Canis lupus familiaris: one gene and its partners. The protein of the gene in region 3 interacts with the protein of the main gene of each other region in a pairwise test. Links are inferred from orthologs where the notes say so. Each region holds a gene or a part of one and is shown on either strand. Other genes may lie near its edges.

Region 1 (3,562 bases), on a different chromosome or scaffold from region 3:
TGCAAAGGGGTATGGGCTTCAGGAACAATGCCCAGGGGAAGCAAGACAGCAGGAGAGTTCCCCTGAGGGCCCAGAATTGGACTTGCTGTGGTTCTCCACCAGAATTCAGCCCATAGCTAGTCCTACAGAAGTCTCATCTATTGACTGAGTAAGCAATCACAAAGCCCAACCCTGCTCTGGGAGCCAAAAGCGGAGAGAGCCCTGTTTGAGATGTCTCACCTCCTCGGTAGTTGCCTCCTCCACCGCTACCACCCCCTCGGTTCTGGAAGCCTCCTCGGTTGCCCCCTGGTGGGCCTCTGTTGTCATAGCGCTGGAAGCCTCCACCACCGCCTCGGCCACGGAAGCCACCACCTCCACGGTTGTCAAAGCGCTTTTCAGGGGGTGGCCCAGCCTTGCGACCTTCCTCATTGTACTGTCTCACCAGCTTGTCTGCTTCTTCCCGCTGCAGCTCAATGAACAGCACCTCATCCAGGAAGTCCCCGACGTCTGGCAACGTGAAGTTGGCTAGGAAGAAGTCAGGGCCCCAGAGGGAACAGAGGTCATTATCTTCTGAGGTCTGGTCCCCTACACCCCCAGGACACTGGCCTGCCAGAAGGGAGATGGTAGAGGGGATGAGAAGTGAGTAACAAAGTGAGAAGAGTCTCAATCTTTCTGACAATGATCAAGAGTTAACAAAGACCCTCCTCTCTTCTGAAGAGGTGGCTAAGTGCCACCAAATTTAAACACTCCTTCCAGCCTCCCCAGGAGGTGGGCCAGGCACGTGGAACCAGCATTCTTATTTCTACAGAGGAGGAGACTGAAGCCTGCTCAGTACCCCACTGGTGGTATTGAGTGCGGGGCTCTCACTGTCTTTTCCCACACATCTTCTCCCTCATGCTGCCCCAGCCCCAACTAGTCTGAAAACTGTGCTACAGGACTGCCAGCAGCTCTTCCATTCACAGCTGCACCAGACAAGGAAGGGCAGAACAGGAGTAAGGGAAGAATGGACAAGATCAAAAAAGGAATAAGCCAGGAGCTGGGGAGGAAGGGACTGCGGAAGGAGCTTTTCTCTGGAGGAGCCTGCTGTGCTGGCCCCCTGGGAACGGCTCATCTCCTACCTTTCATTTCTAGGACCGCGTGATCTGGGACATCCTTTCCTTCCTCGTCGGTTCGCTTTATTGTTCGATCTTTTAGGTCCTCATCAGTGGGACAAATTACAATGGCTTTGCGCTGGAAGCCTTCAAATGGTCTCATTTTTCGTCTCTGGGCTGACCCATAAACATTTGTCTACGGGGAGATAACAAAAGAGGCAAGAGATGGTACATTACAACTTGGGCTTTTTCTTGTCAGGTATTATGTAGGCCAGGATTTGAGAAAAGAATGATAGTTCTCCTAAGCAGAAAAACTCAGGAAACTGCTCTTTTTACTGCTCTTAATATTCTTGAGCCAGTCCTCAGAAAATGGGACTTGGGAAAGCGGCTGCTGACAGCTGCTGATAGCTGCTGACAGGACATGGGGAGGTTCCCAATGGTTAGGTTTTTAACTCTTATCTGTTCTTGGTACGCCACTTCATACCCTCTCCCCAATTCCAAAGAAACACAGGCTCATGGTAAAAACTTCAGAGGAATAAGAATTTATTGTTAAGAATCCCTTTATTTGCTTACTGCCATTCCTCCTTCCCAGAGATGACCCGAACTGAATTTATGTATTTCTAGAAAGATCTGTATGAATTTTTTTCTTTCTTAAAGCATTTACTTTGAGATATGATGGAAAAATCTTAGAGGTACACATGGGAAATTGGTCATAGTTAAAATATGGAACGCTTCACGAATCTGCGTGTCATCCTCAAGCAGAGGCCATGGTAATTTTCTCTGTATCGTTCCAATTTTATTTTAGTGTATGTGCTGTTGAAATCAACACAGATTTGTGATTTTTAAGATTTTATTTATTCTAACAATAAATAAATTTAAGAATAAATTTTATTTATTCTATTTTAAGATTTTTTTAAATTTTTTATTTATTCTGAGACACAGAGAGAGAGGCAGAGTCCTAGGCAGAAGGAAAAGCAGGCTCCTTGTAGGGAGCCGAATATGGGACTTGATCCCTGCACCCGGGATCAAGCCCTGAGCTGAAGGCAGACACCAAACTGCTGAGCCATCCAAGCATCCCGATGTGTGTGATTTTTAATACAAATGGAATCATGCTACATACTCTCTGGAAGGCTTTTTTCACTTAATGTTTCTCTAACGTTTTTCTGGGCCAGTGTTCTCTTTTAATGGCTATATAATATTTACAGAATGGTTGCCATAATTAACCAGCCCCTTCTGACAGTTTTGTGGACTGTTTTCATCAACACTGTGGTTCTTTTATTCCCCTAGTCCTTCTCTAAAGCCATCAGGCTTACCCACAGGCTTCTACCCAGAGAGCAGGACAAGGCAACAGCCCATGCTTTTTCACAAGTGCAGTTTTGCTGCTAACGTTCTGTTCCCTTCCTCTAGGTGATGCACAGGTGTGTCCTGGGCTGGTTCTGGCACAAAGTGGTGCTCTAGAACACACCTGACCAAGAGTAGCAGTTGCCAACAGCTTCCATTTACTGAGTACCTTCTATGTGCTCTTTGGAACTGAGACCCAGACCTGTGGCACCCCAGGGCTCACAGATTCAGCCTGTACACCCAAATCACCTGGATGCTACTGGAAAAGAGAATAGCCCTAATGCCACTCAGGAATTACCAAACTCGTTTCTGGAGACGGGACCCAGGCACCATACAGGTATCCTCCCTATCCAAACTTAAGACACTGAAGAGAATTAGGAGTCCTGAGGAATACCTGCTTTTGAAAAAAAAAAAAAAAAATACCTGCTTTTTTTTTTTTTTTTTTTTTAAATACCTGCTTTTGAACAACTTTTAGCGGCTCTGAAAGGGACTCAAGGGAAAAGCCCTTGAGGGGCAGGTACCAAGAGACACAAAAAATACTGTATTTCCATCCTGATAGGGTGGAAAAGCCCAGGGTCAAGTCCTAGTTTGGCCATTAACTCACTCTGGCCAGTCCTTATAGTTGCTTCATCTGTAAATCAGATGAAATGCCTCCCTGCCAGGGCTGCTAAAGACTGAGCGGAAAAGGATAATAGAACAACTGCCCCAAACACAATTAAGACCTTGAGTGGGGTTTCTGAGGCAGCCTCCAGCATGGGAGCTGTCTTGATAGAGGCAGGCAGTGTGTGTGTGGGTGGGTGGCTTGGCATATCCCAACTCTAACCTAAGTTAGAGTGTGGTCAGGTCACACCCCCATGGCCCTGGGTGAACAAGTTCCACTCAACCTACTTGTCTGTAAAATCAACAGACTTTGCATTTAATGAGTCTCAAGCCCTGAAAGGGGAAAATAGTATGAATGTCATATGTTCACTATTAAGACTTCAGGAATTCATGTTGAGTAAAAGCCCTTGGTTAGCCCAGGGCCTGGCTCACAGCCAACATTCAACAAATGGGAGCCACTGTTGTTATGGCTGTTACTGGGGAGGGAGGTATGCCATGGTTAGTCTCACTGTAAAGTAAACGTGAAGTGATCCAGACCAGGGGAAGATCAA
Region 2 (4,329 bases), on a different chromosome or scaffold from region 3:
CAGGCCTTCTTTAAAGAGCAAAGCTGTGTATTGGGCGCCGACTGTATGCCAGGTACTTTACAAATGATATAGCATTAATTCATCCAACATGTATTTGTTGAGTGCCTACTATGTGCCAGAAATGTGGTTTTCATAAGAATTTTCAACACCATTTTATAAAAAAAAAAAAAAAGGATTCTCCTTCTGTCTCATCTCCAATGTTACACCTGAGCTCCTCAAGGAGGCCTACCTGGCCATCCATCTGATGCTGCCACCTTTCCCCTCCCCCTGTCCTCCCCTATGCCTTCCCTCTACCTGTTGGGGTCCTTTGTCCAGTCTTTATAGGACAGGTGACCAGGGTCCTAAGGTTCCCCGGGTGAAGAGCCAGACCAGGGCTGTATTTCTGCTGCCTCTTTACTGGCCCACGAAGGGGACATTTTTCATTCTGCATGGACCACCCAGTTGTCAATCCAAGGCCCTTGAAAACCCACACTGGCCTAGGCTGAGGGTCGGATGCCCGTGGCTTTCCCTGGAGGCCACTCCGTGATACTTTCCCTTTTCTATGCCCAATTCGAGGCACTGGCACACGTGGTGATGGTTAGTTTCCGTCAGAGCCCTCGTTTCGTCTGTAATTAGTGCTTATTTACTTCGCTAGTGTGCGATCTTTCTCCTTACACTAGAATACAGGCCTCAGGAGAGCAGGGACCGTGCCAGTTTGCTCACCTGCATGCGTCCTCGGTGCCCGCATCTCACCTGGGGTGCTCAGCCAATCCTGGGGAATGAAGGAAGGAAGGCGCATAGGGGAGGTTAAAAGAGGGGTTGGGCCCCCCCAGCCAGGAGGTGGCCGTGGCTGGTCTCTTCCCATCCACTCTTCTCCCAGTCATCTGGCTCGCTCTCCCTTTCCTGGGTGGACCCCTGACCCCCGGGGCCGTGGAGCCCTGGGCAGGCAAAGTGCCGCATCAGTTCTGAGTTTAATGAAGCCCATCCAGGGAGAGAGGTGAGCTCACTGGGCCGCAAACTGCTAACCTAGCCCTTCTCTCTGGCCAGGAGCCCCTGACCCCACTGCCCCCCGCTCCCCCTCCACCCTGGGGACCTGCTGAACCCAGCTCAGGAGGGATCCCTAAGGCCGTGACGGTTGGGTGGGGCCTGGAGGGTGGGGGCCTGGGTGTGAATCCCAGCTCCTGTCTTCCTGGTGGGCTCTGGACCGACCCCCTCTGACCCGCAGACTGCGTTTCCTCCAGGCCCCACCGGTAACAAAGGTACTAACTTCACGAGCTTGGTGGGTTGGCTAGGACACGGGAAGCCCAGAGCTTGGCACACGGTAAGCGCCCCCCAAAAATGTCAGTTTGGGTCCACATCGGCGGTTCCGGGCAGGGCCCCCGGCAGGTGCAGAGCTTGTGCATGAGCGGCGGGCGCGACGGGGCAGGTGCAGGTGCAGGTGCCCCCGGGTCGTCCCGGCCCCGCCCCCACCTGCCCGGGGGCCTTGGGCGCCGAACCCCGAACCCAGCGCCCGCGCTCCGCTCCGAGCCGTTGCGCTTGGGCCGCAGAGGAACCCGGCGCTGGGCCCAGGGTGTGGGCGCCGGCAAAGTCGGCCCAGGCAGCGGGCCTGCGGGCAGGTGTCTGCTGGGGTAACGGGGGGGGGGGGGGGGGGCACCCCGGGGTCTGCCGTCCGGAGCCCCAGGGCGTGGGGGCGGGGTCCCTGGGAGGCCCCGGGACGGTGGGCGGGACCCCGAGGGCTGACCCCGCCCCTGCCGCGCCTAGCACCTGCCCCCGGCCCTGACCCAGCACCTGCCCCAGGCCCTGACGTAGCACCTACCCTAGGCCCTGACCTAGCACCTGCCCTGCACCCTGCCCCAGCACCTGCCCCAGGCCCTGACCCAGCACCTGCCCTGCACCCTGACCCAGCACCTGCCCCGGGCCCTGACCCAGCACCTGCCCTGCACCCTGACCCAGCACCTGCCCTGGGCCCTGACCTAGCACCTACCCTAGGCCCTGACCTAGCACCTGCCCTAGGCCCTGACCCAGCACCTGCCCTGCACCCTGACCCAGCACCTGCCCCAGGCCCTGACCCAGCACCTGCCCTGGGCCTTGGCCTAGCACCTGCCCTGGGCCCTGACCTAGCACTTGCCTGCCAGGTCATGACCTAGCACCTGCCTGCCGGTTCCTGACCTAGCACCTGCACCAGGCCTTGACCCAGCACCTGCACCAGGCCCTGACTCAGCACCTACCTGCCAGGCCGTGACCTAGCACCTGCACCGGGCCTTGACCCAGCAACTGCCCGCCGGGCCCTGGCCTAGCACCTGCGCCAGGCCCTGACCCAGCACCTGCCCACCGGGCCCTGACTTAGCACCTGCGCCGGGCCCTGGCCTAGCACCTGCCCACCAGCCCTGGACTGGGCTGAGGGCTGCAGGTGTCACGGGGGCGTGGCGACGGGACGGCGGGGGCTGCGGGGAGAGCCCGCCCTCCCCCTCCAGCTGTTCCCAGATGTCATTCTGCCCGCCCAGGCACCCGGTTCCTGAGCTCAGGGGGGTTCCACGGTTACTAAGCTACTGGTTTTTGTTGACTTTCAAATATTTTCTTCTACGGGAGAGGGGGAGGGGGGCAAAAGTCAGAAGAGAGCAAATAAAAGCAAATCAAAATAAGCTCCCCCTCCCCAAAAGAGAGCGGTGCTCCATCCTCCCCTCACACCCACCGCGAAGGCCTCTGAGCACAGCCACCTTGCTGAAGCAACAGCCACGCAGAACTGACCTGCGTCTGCCCATCCTCATCTCCCTCTCCGGTGAATGAGGGGTGGTGGTGGATGGTCCCCCTGTCTTCAAGCCCTGGGCGGACGAAGGGGCCTCCGGAAAGACAGGAGGAGGATGGCCAGTGGAAATGGGCTCCCTTCATCCTCAGCCCTGGTGGCCAAGCGCCCCTCCGCCCTGGGCCCATTCCCCAGATACATCTGGATCCACCAGGACACACCCCAAGACAGCTTAGACAAGACTTGCCACGAAATCTGGAAAAGAGTTCAAGGCCTGCCCGAGGCCTTGCAGCCCAGGACCGTGAAGGAACAGCTCTCTGCCCCGGTGGCTGGGACTCCGAGAGACAACGGGCTCAGCTTCCAAGAAGGGTGAGTGTCCCCGTCTGTGGCTGGCACCAAGGGAGGAGGGAGGAGCCGAGGTCCGACCTTCTGGGGGAATGTTCTGGCCCGTTGTTGAGTCTGGTTAAACCCTTAGGCTGTATATGCCTTCTCTCCACCTGTTGGGGTCCTTTGTCCAATCTTTATAGGGTGGGTGACCAGGATCCTGAGCTTCCCCGGTGAAGAGCCAGACCAGGGCTGTATTTCTGCTGCCTCTTGACCAGCCCACAAAGGGCTGGTGTTTTTCCCTTTGCCCAGGCCACCTAGGTGTAGATCCGAGGCCCTCGAAAACCCTCACCGGCCTAGGCTGAGGGTCGGATGCCCGTGGCTCTCCCTCCAGGCAGCTCTGCGATACGTTCCCTTTCCCGCTCCCAGAGGCTAGGCACTGTCACAGATGAGTCTGGTGGTTTTAAACCACATCTGGAATTCCCTAATACAGGGAGCAGCTGTCCCATTCAGCCTCCACAGAAGCCGCTGCAAGAGCGCACATCAAAATATTTACTGGGAAGGCATTGACATATTCAGAGGGCACAATAGAAAATTAAAGTGCGGGAGGATGGCTGTAAATAGCCCTTTTCCTAGTTGGGGAATCCTGTGCCTGGGAAACACAGAGCTCAATGTTGGGCAGATATGATTGGGGCTGGAAATTCGCAGGGAAAGGAAGGAGAGAGCGCGTCAGGAAAAGCGAGCGAAGCGCCACGGCCGTCAGTGCCACTGTGAGCCCCCAGTCATGTCTGGCATCCTCAGAGTGGGCTGCAGACGTTAATTAATCCTCCCAGGGTCCCTAGGAGGCAGGTATTGGTGTCCCCATTTTACAGATGGATTAAGTGTTAATAATTAAGTGCTAATTGAAGACTAAGTGATAATTAAGTGTTGCCTGCTCCAACACATGCTCCAGTTCAAGTCGGAGATGCCGGATGTGGGGTGGGGGGGCATCCAGGCAATCACCAACGATGTCTGGTTTCGGGGATTTCTAGAAAAGAGCTGGGAAGAAAGGCGAAGTGTGTGCAGGTGCCCCAGGTGCACTCCCTGCTGTCCCCTCTCGGGCTGCCGACAAAGGTGGAAGGCACCCGGCTGTCACTGCTCACCCTGCCCTGTGCCCAGCACCATGCGGCTGGAATGGGAATGGCCCGTCTACTGGCCGAATCCTGCCGCCAGCCCCCCAGTGGCGCTGAGCCCCCCCTCTGCTGCCCATTGCCATCTGCTCCGGGATGGAGCCCTGGCAGGGG
Region 3 (4,250 bases):
AGAAGAAGAAGCAGGTTCCGTGCAGGGAGCCCAACGTGGGACTTGGTTCCAGGTCTCCAGGATCATACCCTGGGCTAAAGGCGGCGCTAAATCGCTGAGCCACCCGGGCTGCCCTGTAGCAAGACTTTTAAATGAAAACCAGTCACCTGCTAATTTTTTTTTTTAAATTACAGGGACACCTGGCTGGCTCAGCAGTTGAGCGTCTGCCTTTGGCTCAGGGCGTGATCCTGGAGTTCCGGGATCGAGTCCCATATGGGGCTCCCTGTGTGGAGCCTGCTTCTCCCTCTGTCTATGTCTCTCAAGAATAAAAATTTAAAAAGTAATAAAATTTAAAAATTGCCAAAAAAATACCACAAAAACAATGTTAAAATTTTAAAAACTAGGGACGCCTAGGGGGGCTCAGCGGTTGAGGGTCTCTGCCTTCGGCTCAGGGCGTGATCCAAGGACCCAGGATCAAGTCCCACATCGGTCTCCCCCGGTCTCCCCGTGAGGAGCCTGCTTCTCCCTCTGCCTGTGTCTCTGCCTCTCATGAATAAATAAAATCTTTTTAAAAAATTATTTTAAAACCTAAAATAAAAAAGACCTAGTATGTAATAAATCTAATCAAATTACAGAAATGCATACAGGCACAAGAGATGACTAAAGATGGGCTTGCTTAAAGACCAGTAATTAGTAACATCAGCAACCTCTCCCAAACTTCATAAGTAGAAATTTACTCACTTCAAAATGAAGAATCTTGACTAGAAATTAACACTGAAAACATCACTTTTCACTGACATACCCCAACGCATTTTTTTGTCTAACCGGAGAACCCGAAGTATTTTCATTCTTACTAGAAATTCAGAAACCGTTAACCTTTAAAAAAATGACTGTAAGTAATAGAATTACATTTAAGATAGGGAATTTCGACCACGTTTTGAACTGAAAGAGTATCTGAAGTGTTCAGAGCTCTTCCAGCGCCACCAACTTCCGGAGACCTGAGGCGCGGCGTTAACCTTGGGCACCTCGGGGGCCCCCTTCCCGGCGGGCGGTTCCCCCCACTCAGCGAGCCGTAGCTCGCGGACCCCGCTCCCGCCACGCACGCGGCCGCGGGGCAGACAGGAGCCCGGACACCCCCAGGTAGCTGTGAGAGCTAAAGGAAGCACGTTCCTGCGTCCTGAGGCCTCGGGGGAAGGGAACTACTGCGAGGAGAGTCCGGCCGGCGGGCCCGGCCCGAGGGACGCGGGGCGGCGGGGGAGGGGGTTCCTGCTGGAGCTGGGGAAGGGGCTCTCCGGGGTCTGGGGATTTGTCCGGCGAGAACCTGAGAGCTCCTGAAGGGAACAGACCAACAGGGAGGGGCCTGTGGCCTCCTAACCCGGTCTATAAAAGACGGGGTCGGGCGAGTCCCCGGACTCTGCCGGCGTCACCAGGCCGCCCGGCGCCACTTTCAGGGACCCACGCGGGCACACCGAAGGTAGAGGGCGCAGCGCAAGCGCCGGCAGAGTCCAGAAGTTTCTTAGGCGCAGTCAAGAACCAGCAAAAAATACATTCAAGGATACAAAGAAATAAAGGGCAAGGGAAAAAGAAACGGCCGATTAAGCTCGCTCCGCGTAAGTGTGGTCACCCGGCAGAGATAACGAGAACCAAAGAGTTTCTACCCAAAAACCAGACACAATACCTCTAAAAGCAGGAGACAAAACGGAGACCGGCGCTCGGCACTCACACGCCACACCGAGAGGAAGAAAAGGCCTCAAAGACCGAAAGTGGAGGCTCAGCGAGCGGGAACGTGGGAGGGGGGAGGAGTCAGTTGCCAACCAGTCTGGTGCAACTCAACCACGTGAAAGTACTGCTTTCATTTTTAAATGAAGCCCCTCTCCCACGGTCGTCAGGTGCCCTCGCGCTATTTCTGGCAGGGCGCTCAAGCTCTGCTAACCCCGGAGGCCGCACCAGGCCTTTCCTCCCTCCCTGCCTCCCGCGGCCCTGAATCCCAGCCCAGCGGTCCAGTCCCCGAGGGGATGGCTCTTGATCTCAGGCCTGCCTCCCCGCACCCGCGATCTCAGTCCAGGGGTCCAGTCCCCGACTCTACGGCCGTGGACTTCTGACCCCACCTTCCGTGACCCCAATTCTCAGCCCCAGGGGGCCCAGTCCCTGACCTCAGCCCCTGCCTCTCCCGACCCCAACCCTCAGCCCCTGCGTGCCCAATGCCCATTCGGTCCCCGTGGGTGAGGCCCCTGACTTCAGACCTAGCCTCCCCCAAATCCGTATCCCAGCCCCGCCGCCCCCAGCCCAGAGGGCCCGGTTCTCGGTCCGTCCCAGTGGTGCGGCCCTCAGCCTCCGACCCGCCGCCCGTCCCGCCCCTCACCTCGGGCTCCGGGTCTCCACGCTCCCGCTCTTCACATCCGGCACCTCGATCGTCCCTCTGAGCACCTAGAGGAGGGTGGAACGCGGGGAACTTGGCAGTTGTAGCTGAGGCAGTTGAGGCTTGTTTACCATCACCATGGAAACCCCTGGCAGCGCGCCCTGGGCGGGGCCCCGAGGGGCGGGGCCTGGCGCGCGGCCGGCCCCGGCGCACAACTCCCGCCCGTCGGGCGCACGCGGCGTTTCCCGCAGCCCGCTTGCTCCGGGCTCGCCCAGTCCCCGCTCGGCCGCACCCCAGCACCCGAGGGCCGCTGCCCGGAGAGCCCGCGCCCCCACCCCACTTCCGGCTGCTGGCGTGACCGCCGGCCGCTTTCCCCGCGGAACCCCACCTTCTTCTCCAGGAAGACGCGGCGAAGGGCTACTTCCACCACGGAGCCGGAAGGACGCGAGGAGCGCGGCGGGGCGGGGCGGGGCCTCCGCGGCGTGCGTCCAGGGGCGGGGCCGCGAGGGCGCCATTGTGCCGCTCCCGGGGCGGAGCCAGGGATTGGTCTGCGGGGCGCGGGGCAGGGCCGGGGCCTGCGGAAGGGGACGCTGTGGAGAGGAGAGCCGCTGCCTCGCGCCAGCCCTTTCTCAGGGCGGGGGAGGGTCTGACCGCGGCAGCGTTGAGCTCCGGGAGATGCTGACTGGGAGAGTTCCCCCCCTAAACCGGGACCTCAAGGACTCCGGTATTGAAGATCAGCGTGAGAGAAAAAAAAGAGTAATTTCCTGCCAAGGAGAAAATAGGGAACCGAAAACAGCGAGACGGATAAAGGCGGCTCCGATTGCAGAATTTAGGGAAGGAGTAACATGTTCACTGAGGTTGCTCACATGTTGATTACTTGGGCTGAGGAGTCCCCGGTCTCTGAAGGTGACCCAGAAGACCCAAGGGAACACCTGAAACTAAAGGCTGGGTGGAAATGGCTTCCCAGCCTGAGAGCAGTGGAGACTTCTTGATGTGTTCTGGAGTTAGTAATTATCACCATTTTAATTTTTGGAGACTCTTTATAAAGAGGATGAGATCAAGGCATTCATCACAGGTTTCACAGAACAGATTATTTTAAAATCACTGGTTAAATTAAGGGAATGTTTGGAGCAGTGGCAGATTATGAGCGGATGACAGTAAAAAGCAGTTTGTCAAAAGCTGATTCTAGGAAAGAAAAATGGGAAAAGTGAAAGGAAGAGCTGTTAGAGGGGGTGAAAATGTACAAGGAGAAAATTAAAGCAAAATTACTGAAAATGAGTCCTACAAAAATCAGGTAGGTGTTCCCACAAAACTCCACAATGACTTCATCATAGCAGACTGTAGAAAAGTGGTTCTGGAGAGAGAATGCAAGCAGCCAATCTGAGGCAAATATTAAAACGGTAACAAAAAATAGTGCTTCAGAATTAAGGGACTGTGAAGCCAGGTCCAAGAAGATATGTTTATATAGTCCGTTAAGAGAGACTCAAGCTACACGGGCTCTTTGATCCCTTCGAGGGGCTCCCTGTTCATTATTGATCAACAATGCAATAATCCTTTTTTTTAAATTTTACTTATTTATTAATGAGAGAGAGAGACAGACAGAGGCACAGGCAGAGGGAGAAGCAGGCTCCAGGCAGGGAGCCCCACGTGGGGCTCCATCCTGGGTCTCCAGGATCAGGCCCTGAGCTGAAGACGGTGCTAAACCGCTGAGCCACCCGGGCTGCCCAACAATGCAATAATCTTTGAGAGCCTCCCTGAAAGAAAGATTAGAGCCTTGGCCTGATTATGAGCCTCTCTCTGGTCTTGGGAGTAATCCTAGGTGCCTATTAATGTTTTTTTCAGAGATGAGAACCAGCAACATTACAGGTAGACCCTCTTTCACAGTGAGGCCTGAAATTGTTCATACTGGTGC
Region 4 (3,213 bases), on a different chromosome or scaffold from region 3:
ACCCAGGAATCACAGTCAGCCTAAACCACTACAGGACTAAATATGCTCAGAAACTCGCACCGTGCTTGGTCTGCTGTAGCAAAGAAAAGCTGCCATGGACTGTGTTTTGATCTTGGACTTCCCAGCCTCCAGAACTGAGGAATAAATGTCTGAGTTTATAAGCCCACCCAGCTTATGGTATTTTTGTTATAGCAGCCGAAATAAGACTGTAACAAAAGCCAAACAGGAAATAAGCCTGACGCAATTTCTGTACCCCAAAGAGCAACTGTACAGGAGGGAGAGAGAATGGCTCTCAGGACCAGTAATATCCAAGTGCTTTGTTACCAGCACTGGAGAATTCAAGTCCACTCAGGACTCAGTTTCCATGAGAGTTCTCCTCGAGTGGCCAGGGTCCATGTCCTTCATGCTCAGGAGGAATGGGAATGAGACCCCCCAGTGGTCACAGTTCTAAGGGTAGAAAGAAGACTGGCTTTAGCTCCTCAAACCTCAGGGGGTGCCCCACAACACACACGCAAAAAAGCAAGCATCTTTTCAGGAACTGGTATTTATTATCAAAGTCATATTCGATGTCAACAAGATGCCACAACTACAAAAAAAATTGCGCACATTGCAATCTCAATGCAAACAGTCAAATGGAACCCCGGTCATTAAAAAAGTAATTCAAATTACCCCAAAAAGCAACTGAATTTTTTAAACATCTTTATACATCCAGCCAACAAATTAAAATGGTTAACAAGAAAAAATACAAATTCAGAGGTCTGGTATCGATGTTTAAAAAAGGCAACTGCTTAAGCATTTCTATCGATTCGAACATCAATCTCTCGGCCACTCAGCTTCATCCCATTCATCATCCGGCAGGCTCTCTCAGCCACCTCTGGCGACTCAAACTTAACCACACCGCACCCCTTGGACTTCCCGTTCTCCATCTTGATGTCGGCATACAGCACGTGGCCTGGGCACAGGGAGGGAAGAAGAGACCACAACTCATCAGGCAAACCCAGAGCTCAGCCTCAGTCTGGGCTCCACTCAGTCCAGATCACCTGTTGGATTTCGGTGGACAGAGTCAAAAGGGAGAGCGGCCCTGGCACACAAATGCTCAGAACACAATAGCTGGAATCCAGCGACTATGGCCCTTGGCCATGTTGCCATTCTTCTGCCAACAGAACCACCATCTGACCCATGATAAGCCTTCATGGCAGCTTCAAATGCATACTCATACACTTGAGAAAGTTATAAAGGTGGCTGTGTGAAGCCAACCTTATAGGTGCTTCATCTTCAAGACTTCAGAGTATTTACAAGGCCATCATGAAATAATGGGACATTCTGTATTGTCCACACATAGACTGCATCCTAATTTGAAAGTGGGGTTCACATATTCATTCAAGCACTGATTAAGAATCCAGGTATGTGTCAAGCACCATGAAACAAGTCTATAAGGGAAAGAGTTAAGGACATGACCACGTAGCCCTATGTTAGATGGCCCTCGTTTCTAGAGCCATTAACTCAGCCCAAGGGAAGGTCAACATCTAGAGGGATTCTCAGGACAGTTCTAAAATACTTAAGCTCACCAGAAGGTAAGCTCTCACTACAACAGCTTAAAATAAAGCACTTTTGGAGAATGGCACTTGCAACTCCGGGTTCAGAGACAGGAGAGAGATGAAAAAGGACGGACTAAGTTACAAAGGGACTAGAGTGAGCTTCTCATTAGCAGATGGGCACCTCCAGGCATCTGAGGCAGGAGAGCAGCCTGATCCAACATGACTTTTCAGAATACCTACTACAAACTAAAGAATGGAGAGAGAGCAAGAAGGCACGTATGGCTCAACAGCTGCCCTAAGAGAAGAACCAGGAGAAGCAGCAAAGTGGTGCAATCTGAGCTATCAGTGAAACAGGAAATGAAAAAACACTGAGGAGGCCTTGACCCAGCAAGCCACCTGGACTTGTGGCTTAGGCCTGGGGCTCCCACTTAACATGGTTTAAAGAACAGAGGTGGTGGGAGTCAGGAGCAGGGATTCACCCAGGGACAACTTCACTTCCTTTCAGCCACAAAGTGAGCCTTTCAGAATGGTGGCCTGGTGTGGCCAGAAAACCAAAACCAGAGCCCCTCACCTCATTCACAGACAAGCTCACCCCTGGGAACTTCTGGGTGAGTGCTCTTTGAGGCATGAACCAACAGTACAGTGGTAGAAAGCAACCTCATCTCAGATGTTTTTATTTTACTCAGCTTTGTCACGGAGAAACCATGTGACCTTGGGAACATGACTTTTCCTGACTCATCTGCAAAATGGGGACATCGTCTCCTTTCAAAAACCATAAAAGGAGAAAGATAAGGTTGAAATGAGAACACACATAGGAAGTGTCTGACACATAAGAGGAAACTCAACAACCGGCTTGAATATTTGCACAGGCAGAAAAATGGCAAGTCCCACTGGTCCTTGAGTCACGGCAAGTGGCTGTGAAGACCAGGATGGGAGCTTCGCTGCACCCCACAAATGCATCACTAACAAGCTAAGACTTCTGAAGCCACAACACATGGAAGCACCTAGAAAGCCTTCCTCAAACACTTACCACATTCGTTGAATTTGTCTTTTAGCATCTTCCATGTAAAATCAAATGGGAGCTAAAGGGAAAAGGAAAAACTGATGAGTGATACAACCAAAATCCTAATATCCTAATGCATAAACACCAGGGTCTCTCAGAGAAACTTTCAGGAAATAGGTGATCAGCAGAGAACAAAATACGCCTGTCTGGAATGAGGCTCGAAACCAGCACACCGAGCGTACTCCCTTGTGGCATTATCTCTCTTCAAGAGGACAGTCGCCTGTGGTTAGAGGCCCCAAAACCACTCAACAGTAGCTGAAGGTGGTTAACTTGGTATAAAGATGATACAGATACAGCCCTTTGTCCGTCATGCCCAGGTGTAGTGGCTCTTGCCAAGGGAGTCCAGAAGCTCGGGTTGTTCCTGAGCTCACTCACTGTTGGTTCCACCTAGCAGTCCGATAACCCAGGGCTCCTGATGCACAGTTCATACACTCTCACAGTCCTTCCTTATCCTACTAGCACCAAATTTGGGGGGACAGTAGCAAGGTGGCCTTTTGTATTGCTACCCTTCCTACTGAAGGCACCGACTCTGACTTCAACCTGTCCCCTCACCCTTCCTCCCTTTGTGCCTACCACCACCATCAAGTTGCTGAAGAGCCACTTACATTTCTC

What was found.
Region 1: the proteins of HNRNPF (region 3) and HNRNPUL1 interact in a two-hybrid assay, tested with the Homo sapiens proteins (3 studies listed by BioGRID and IntAct). The link is inferred for Canis lupus familiaris from reciprocal best matches to the Homo sapiens genes HNRNPF and HNRNPUL1.
Region 2: the proteins of HNRNPF (region 3) and C15H1orf94 interact in binary tests that used the Homo sapiens proteins (3 or more experiments, as listed by UniProt). The two-hybrid records come from large-scale screens. The link is inferred for Canis lupus familiaris from reciprocal best matches to the Homo sapiens genes HNRNPF and C1orf94.
Region 4: the proteins of HNRNPF (region 3) and HNRNPM interact in binary tests that used the Homo sapiens proteins (3 or more experiments, as listed by UniProt). The two-hybrid records come from large-scale screens. The link is inferred for Canis lupus familiaris from reciprocal best matches to the Homo sapiens genes HNRNPF and HNRNPM.

The regions. Positions count from the first base shown.
Region 1 is NC_049222.1:113,451,044-113,454,605, forward strand, and holds part of HNRNPUL1 (heterogeneous nuclear ribonucleoprotein U-like protein 1), read right to left. Parts: intron 1,901-3,562; exon of another isoform or gene 1,788-1,900; intron 1,267-1,787; coding exon 1,098-1,266; exon of another isoform or gene 505-1,097; coding exon 220-504; exon of another isoform or gene 1-219.
Region 2 is NC_049236.1:7,759,742-7,764,070, reverse strand, and holds the start of C15H1orf94 (uncharacterized protein C1orf94 homolog), read left to right. Parts: upstream 1-1,489; 5' UTR 1,490-1,595; exon of another isoform or gene 1,596-1,607; intron 1,608-2,114; 5' UTR 2,115-2,762; coding exon 2,763-3,091; intron 3,092-4,329.
Region 3 is NC_049249.1:3,803,249-3,807,498, reverse strand, and holds the start of HNRNPF (heterogeneous nuclear ribonucleoprotein F), read right to left. Parts: upstream 2,815-4,250; 5' UTR 2,727-2,814; intron 2,413-2,726; exon of another isoform or gene 2,407-2,412; 5' UTR 2,342-2,406; intron 1,803-2,341; exon of another isoform or gene 1,658-1,802; intron 1-1,657.
Region 4 is NC_049241.1:53,439,346-53,442,558, reverse strand, and holds the end of HNRNPM (heterogeneous nuclear ribonucleoprotein M), read right to left. Parts: coding exon 3,207-3,213; intron 2,621-3,206; coding exon 2,569-2,620; intron 1,041-2,568; coding exon of another isoform or gene 1,027-1,040; exon of another isoform or gene 953-1,026; coding exon 789-952; 3' UTR 527-788; downstream 1-526. UniProt on the Homo sapiens protein: Pre-mRNA binding protein in vivo, binds avidly to poly(G) and poly(U) RNA homopolymers in vitro. Involved in splicing.